Kluyveromyces lactis: one gene and its partners. The protein of the gene in region 1 purifies or fractionates together with the protein of each later gene. This does not show direct contact. Links are inferred from orthologs where the notes say so. Each region holds a gene or a part of one and is shown on either strand. Other genes may lie near its edges. The genes, in order: RCF2, RIP1 and COX13.

The links.
Region 2: the proteins of RCF2 (region 1) and RIP1 purify together in Saccharomyces cerevisiae (affinity purification with western blotting; 5 studies listed by BioGRID, with this or other methods). This does not show direct contact. The link is inferred for Kluyveromyces lactis from reciprocal best matches to the Saccharomyces cerevisiae genes RCF2 and RIP1.
Region 3: the proteins of RCF2 (region 1) and COX13 purify together in Saccharomyces cerevisiae (affinity purification with mass spectrometry; 3 studies listed by BioGRID, with this or other methods). This does not show direct contact. The link is inferred for Kluyveromyces lactis from reciprocal best matches to the Saccharomyces cerevisiae genes RCF2 and COX13.

Annotation. Positions count from the first base shown.
Region 1 is NC_006042.1:573,835-576,376, reverse strand, and holds RCF2 (Rcf2p), read left to right. Parts: upstream 1-1,290; coding exon 1,291-1,956; downstream 1,957-2,542. UniProt on the Saccharomyces cerevisiae protein: Assembly factor that plays a role in the assembly of the respiratory chain supercomplexes (SCs) composed of ubiquinol-cytochrome c oxidoreductase (cytochrome b-c1 complex, complex III, CIII) and cytochrome c oxidase (complex IV, CIV).
Region 2 is NC_006041.1:2,012,885-2,015,431, forward strand, and holds RIP1 (ubiquinol--cytochrome-c reductase catalytic subunit RIP1), read left to right. Parts: upstream 1-1,287; coding exon 1,288-1,929; downstream 1,930-2,547. Other genes in the region: putative E3 ubiquitin-protein ligase HUL4, read left to right, coding at 1-536. UniProt on the Saccharomyces cerevisiae protein: Component of the ubiquinol-cytochrome c oxidoreductase, a multisubunit transmembrane complex that is part of the mitochondrial electron transport chain which drives oxidative phosphorylation.
Region 3 is NC_006042.1:844,036-846,416, reverse strand, and holds COX13 (cytochrome c oxidase subunit VIa), read left to right. Parts: upstream 1-1,332; coding exon 1,333-1,716; downstream 1,717-2,381. Other genes in the region: IME4 (mRNA (N6-adenosine)-methyltransferase), read left to right, coding at 1-246. UniProt on the Saccharomyces cerevisiae protein: Component of the cytochrome c oxidase, the last enzyme in the mitochondrial electron transport chain which drives oxidative phosphorylation.

The DNA of each region.
Region 1 (2,542 bases):
TGAAAAAAATAAAAAAAAATGACGTATCAGTGTTCGCTTATTAACTAGTTGAAAAAAATCTTCAATAGTCTAATATGCGTTCATTTTACAAGTATTTCAGTAGAGACTCAAGCTAGTATACATATCGGTTACGTCAAAACAGAGTGATGTACAAAACTCTGCTGGCCATATTCAAAGCAAAGGCTTTCCACATATTAAGCTCTTTTTCTTAAGAGTAGAAACCTGAAAAATAGTATTTCGGCGATTTCTCAAAATGGTAATCACTCTCCCTTGTATTAAAAGGTCAGGCTAATGAACGCAACACTGCACTAATTGCAATGGATATTATCCGAACGATCCGATGCCTTAGGTCCAAAACTGAAGCTTTTCGAAGATCCTGTAACTCTATTGGATGAATCTGGTAGGTTCCAGCTGTTAGGGTTAGTCGATGCATATTCTCTGCTCTTCCTTTTTTTTTAAACATGTGTGACTGACCAATCATATCACAGGAAACTTTGTGTCAAGGAAATGTGGAGCCACAACCGTGGCAAATTCCGACCGGCTTCTTCTCAGGTAACAACTACTAAAACCACTATCTCCGTATGCACGCGCAAATCCTTCTGAGTAGGACAGTTCGTTCGGCTGGTCCCACTTAGGTATTAGCTTCGCTAAAGTATGGATTGATTTTGAACATCAGTGTAATGAACATAGTCACTTTCTAATTGACGGAGTTATTTTCAGACAAAAACTTGTCTGACCTTTGGAAGAAATTTCAATCGAATGGTTCATTGATACGTTGATAGCAATGAACAGGTTACGCTGAGCCTGTTCATGGGCTGGCAACAAGAACGAGAGATATAGGGTTTGGCTAACTGCCAAAATTACGTAACATCAGTAGCAGTGCCTCATGGACAATCATAAATCCTAAATCGTATACGATATTGCAGGAAAAAGAAATAAAGGAACAAAGAATATTTATCATACGGGAAGGAAAAAAGTAAAAAAGTAAAATCGAACCAAAATTAAAGTATAATTGGAACAAAGGCAGGGAGGGAATTTAAAAGTATCGTATATAAGGAAGAGCATTCTCTCGGTTTATTCGTTTACAGAATCATTTCAAATTATATATATATATATCGTTTGACAGTTAAAATTTGTTAATGCTTATCCTCTTGGCTAAAATAAATATCGGGATATATTAGGATTTTGTTCCAGTATTAATTCGATATTTATCACCTTATTTAAACTAAGGGAATCAAAAGTTAGCTTAAGAGATAAGTAACTGAAAGACGAAAAAACCAGCACAGCAAGATGAAGATTTTAACAAGAGAAGAAATTGATGCTCATCGTCACTACACCCTGATGGGTGGTGTTAAAGGTGCAGCTGCAGGTCTGTTAATTTCTGCAGCTATGTTCAGGTTTTTACCCCATCGTTATCCTAAATTCAATCCAAAGGCTATGACATGGTCTGTCAAGACTGCTTTATTCATCACGCCTCCAACTCTTTTGGCTTCTATTGTCGCTGAAGAATCTTCTAACAGTTTTGATAAGAAAATGTATGGTGACTCTTCGTCCAGTGATATTCTTGCTGAACATAACAGATGGAAGAACCTGCCTATGAGCGAAAAATTGGTCGAAGGTTTGTCCAACAATAAGTACAAGATCATTGTTGGTGCATGGGCTGCTTCCTTGTATGGATCCTGGAAATTGGTTGATAGGGACTTATACATGACCAAAGCCCAAAAGGCTGTGCAGGCAAGAATGTATGCTCAAGGTATAACTGTGATTTTGTTACTAGCCTCAATTGGTTTATCTATGTACGAGGAAAAGCTACATCCAGATCAAAAGAAGGAGGCTAGAGACCGTCGTTGGCAAGCGGCTTTGGAGCATGCTGAGAAGGAAGAAGAGATGGCTGCAACCGCTGGTTACAGAAGTAACGAAGACAGAGTTAAGGCCAAGATTTTTAAATATGATTGAATTTTTGAAGAATTCAATCTAGCTGAGGTGAAATACGATATTGCCTTCACACTACAAGGCGTACAATTCTATTTTCACCCTCATCACATCCTTCTTGTGAATAATTTTGACCCATATACTATTAACTGTTTTTTTTTTACAGCACTGCCTTGTACGAAATGAAATGAAGCAGATCTAACGTACCAAATCTACCTTTCATGGTGAGTTATTTTGTCTCACATTATTCTATGTCATGACAAGTTAATAAAAGAAGATCTATTTTTTATCATTGATTATTGTAACAGTTTCATTGCATCGTGGCGCAACCATCCACGAGATCAAAAATGCGGGCGTGCTGCCTTACCTGTTATGGTTGTTTTTTAATGTCAGCTTATTTCAATTTTTTTTCAATAGAGACGGCTGGTACGGCTTTCATAACATTATACCACTACTTTTTTGAACCAATCAAGAACCTTCATAAATTATCAAAAATGCGGACCAAAATTGCTTGTAATCTTTTCATTTCTAATAGAGCAACTTGCTCACTCAATGCAGCTTTGTTTTAGATAGAGCGTACAAATCCTTTCTTATGCTTATCCTTTCTCAT
Region 2 (2,547 bases), on another chromosome or scaffold:
AATCAATCCCAGTAACCTCGGAGAATAAGACAGAGTTTGTTGAAAGGTGGGTAAATTTTTATATGAATGAGGGGGTCTCATCGAGTTTTAGTGCATTCCAATCCGGGTTTACAAGAGTCATCGGGGATGGTTTGGCTTTCCCGATGTTCAAAAGTTGTGAAGTAGAAAGGCTCATCTGTGGCAGCATAGAACAAGACATGGATTTCGAACAACTTCGCGCTGTGACGAAATACCAAGGCGGATTCCATAACCAAACCCCGGTAGTGGAATGGCTATGGGAAATACTACCACAATTATCCCATGAACAGCAACGTCAATTTCTCCATTTCGTGACTGGGAGTGACAGAGTTCCAGTGACGGGACTTGCGACGCTTCCGTTCAAGGTAACCCGCACAACGTCCGGATCACATGATCAGTTGCCCACTGCCCATACCTGTTTCAACGAACTCTGCTTGTACGAATATGAGTCACGTGATACTCTTCTTCTGCGATTGGTGACTGCCCTCGAAATGTATGAGGGTTATGGGTTTAAATAATGTCAGCAACAAACATACATTAATATAATCACTACAAACGAACCAATCATATCGTGAACCAGGCTTTACAGAAAAACCTGCTTCCCTTGAATAACCAGAAAACACAAGGAAATGGACACTTACAGCTACTATGTGAAAGCCGTTAAATGCGAAGCGTTTTACTGACACTAGGCCCAAAGGCCCTAGTGTCAGTTATCATTTCCACCAAGAAAATCTTCCTATACTTGACCATTTACGCAAATAAAATTGTATACTTGTAAATTGGAAAATAATAACCACACCAGGAAGTTCTGCCTCGTCCCAGCTCATTTACACTGTCCATTCCTGTCTGGTCGAATTATATCTTGTTTAATCCTTTAGCGCTTCTTACTATTGGCTTTTTTCCCAATCTGAAATTTTTCTTTGTTTTTTTTTTTTTTGCTTCCTTCCGCACTTATTAAGCTGCAATGGCTTCTGTTTAATATGGATAGAGATAATTTGATAATTTCTCTGAATAAAATAAAATAGAAAAAGATTTAGTACAATCATTTTATTATTACTTTCAGTTCCAACAACATTTTTGCATTGATATATATATTTTATAATCTGGCTTGGTGATTCATATCTGTGTATATATTTATTGATACTCCGAGAGTGCTTTGCTGTTGTGATTAAAGTCGATATCATAGAAACGATTTCTCCGAAATAAGAACGGGAAATTAGTACGAATAATACACTCTAGCGATATATCCATAACTAACTAATATCAAAAATGTTGGGTTTAAGAAACGGTTTGAAGACTGGTTTGAAGTCTGTTGCTCCAGCCAGATTAATTTCTACTTCTGCAGTTGCTGCCAAGTCTACTTACAGAACTCCAGATTTCGGAGACTATATCAAGGAGAATAACGATGCTGACAAAGGTCGTTCTTATGCTTACTTTATGGTTGGTTCTTTAGGTTTGTTGTCCTCTGCCGGTGCCAAATCCACCGTTGAAACTTTCATCGCTTCTATGTCTGCATCTGCAGATGTTTTGGCTATGGCTAAGGTCGAAGTCAACTTGGCTGCTATTCCAGAAGGTAAAAATGTCGTTGTGAAATGGCAAGGTAAGCCAGTTTTCATCAGACACAGAACCGACCATGAGATTCAAGAAGCTAACAGTGTTGATATGTCAGCTTTGAAGGATCCTCAAACTGATTCTGACAGAGTTCAAAAGCCAGAATGGTTAGTCATGTTGGGTATCTGTACTCATTTGGGTTGTGTTCCTATCGGTGAATCTGGTGATTTCGGTGGTTGGTTCTGTCCATGTCACGGTTCCCATTACGATATCTCCGGTAGAATCAGAAAGGGTCCAGCTCCATTGAACTTGGAAATCCCTCAATATGAATTCGATGGTGAAAACTTGATTGTCGGTTAAGCGCAGAAGGAAAGCTAAAAAAAGATTATATTATGTTGATAAATTGTTGAAATAGGCTACCTTTTTTTGCTATTTCTCAAATTTAACTCTCTTCCTTTTTCTCTTTCTCTTTGTCCTTCTCACTCCAGCTTTCACTAATAAAATTCTTTATTCCCATGTTGATGTCTCCTACTCCCCCCATGTATTTTCCAAGTAGGATTCACAACCAAGGTCAATATCTTTTATGCTAAAGTTTGTCATATTGGAATCGTGTAAGCTCGTTTTTTCACGTTCCATCATCACTACCCGATTTATTATTATTTATTCATACAAACATTTTTGAAACCACAACTACCCGTGCCCCCATAGCTCAAGCAAACTAAAAGGATAGCAAGCATGAAATGCTTTTGAAGCATTGTTCAATTGTATGTCATCACTTTTCCTTTTAACTGCACTGAGAAACAATCGCATTAATACCTGAATGACCACATCAGGCTACTACCGTGATTGAAACCCTTTTATTATATTCCAAAATCTTTGAAATAGTCCTGCTCTACCCGATGCATGGTTATACCTACAATCTGAATCGCTTAATGTTGTATCGCCTTCTTTTCCATAAAAGGTCAGACACGTATTTAA
Region 3 (2,381 bases), about 270 kb from region 1:
GACATTGACTTGATCATTAGCGCAACTAGAGAAACCAGTAGAAAGCCGGACGAATTGTATGGAATCATTGAAAGACTTGTCGGTACACATGCCCGTAAACTTGAAATTTTCGGTAGGGACCATAACATCCGTCCTGGATGGTTCACGATAGGAAATCAAGTGACAGGCTCATCTATCCATGAAGTGGATGTGAAAAGGAAATACGAAAGATTCATGGAAAAATCAAAGAATTCAAAGACAAACTAAAGATGTAATACTCTCTTTACTTCAAATGTCCTAGCTTTTATTTGTCGATACACAGTATCCATTAGGAGTCTGTATGTGTTCCTTCTTACTTTTCTTCTTTTTTTTAATTTATGTCATACGCCCTTGTAATTACAAACGTTACATTACCCACAAGTTCGTGCTACACTTAAGCAGCAATAGGCAATCTTTTGATTTCCATAACCATGGCTGATCCTACGGGCGTTCTATTAGCCAACGCGCTTGTTTTTTGAATTCAATGCAACAAGCTCTCAGCTTAATCTAGCATTCTATATATTAGGAACGGTGTTTCTGTCCACTACACCAACCCCAGCCGGCAAGTCCCTGCAGCAGCTACTAGAATGACATGCGATGGCTCAGGTTTGCTAAAAACCCAAAATCAATTACCGCCAGGCCGTGAAACAAATATTGTTACCCGGACTTGAATTCCTGAACGTCAATATTACACTGTTTGTCAATATGTATAAAGAGATGCAACAGAAACAGAAAATAAAGTAGGAAGTACTTCTGAATCTGTTGCCAGTGTGAACGGTATCGTATGAGCTACTTGTGGGTTTGTAGTCCCGGCGAGACAGCAACACCATTTAAACAAGGAATAGGAACCTTTTATGCTCAGTGTCCATTACCAGAACTTAAGTCTCTCGTGACCAGCAACCAATCATTTTCATACCGTGTAATGTGATACCGAAATTACAACATCGAAAAAGCATGATCTTTGTCTAGTTTCTCCGTCGTGCCATTTTTGGTTTTTTATATGGAGTGGGATATGGAAATATCGCGAGAGAGATTGTGTTGATGCTAGAAAATTTTGGAGGTAGGAAAAAAAAAATTGTTTAATAGTTAGGAAAGTTCAAGTTATTAAAGCTACTCTTTCCATAATAGAAAAGGTTTTATTGGTAAGTCAAAGTACTTTTTTAAAAGAGATTTTTGTGATTAGTTTTCTTACTGTTTACAATTCATTTTACATTCATTTCGAGTTTGATATCTATTTAACGTCAACTGTGTTTGGTGAATTAATTCCATAAGGATATTCTGTTTCGAAAAGCCAGACCCTAGATATAATCAAAAATGTTCAAACAAGCCATTAGAAGAGCTTCTACTCTACCAAAGTATGCTTTGGAACCAGCTTTCGGTAAGCCAGATTTGGCTGCTGCCCAAGCTTACAAGGACTACATGAAGCACAGTACTGAGCACGCTAAGCAAACCTCTAACTTGTGGGTTAAGATCTCCATATTTGTTGCTGCTCCAGCTATTGCTCTGACCGCTGTCAACACCTACTTCGTTGAAGCTGAACACGCTGAGCACCGTGAACATTTGAAGCACGTTCCAGATGAAGAATGGCCAAGAGACTACGAATTCCAAAACTTAAGACAAAAGCCTTTCTTCTGGGGTGACGGTGACAAGACTTTGTTCTGGAACCCAGTCATTAACAGACACGTCTCTCACGATTAAACACAGTTCGATAAATGATCTCAACTTGTTGGGCTTTGGCCATTCATAATGAAATATCAAGATAGCCCCTGCCTGTGGGTTTTTTTATCTTTTAAAACACCTTTTATCAAATATCCTCAAATTATCTTCAAAAGAATTCAAACATCCGTTTAATCTGGCATTATACTTCAAAATACAACAAACATATGGATAAACTTTATAGTGGAGTTTCCACCATACAAATAATTATTATTTAACTCAAGAAGAATAAACACACTTTTTATCTTTATTGTAAATTCAGTCCTAGAAAAATAGAATAAAACACGTCACACTGTGTCAATGATCATAAGTAGATATAAGTTTCTTCATTATCAATATCTATTGTACTGAATCTGTGACAAGCAGTACATCAACTTCGATATGCTCAGCGTTATGGCAAACGTCTTTAGTAACTCAATACTTACTTTTTTTTCACGAATGATGAATACAAACTGACTTTACGTTCCAAAAACTTTAACTTTACATTGTTCCCCATTGTTAACCGAACAAAAAATAAGGGGAAAACGAAAAGTGATACGCTGGTACAGCGTATATACAACATATATCCAGAATATATCCGGAGCACACTTGAAGCTATGCCCCGAGCTATTAGTTTACCTTCGATATGTTATTTAATTCGACGAGAA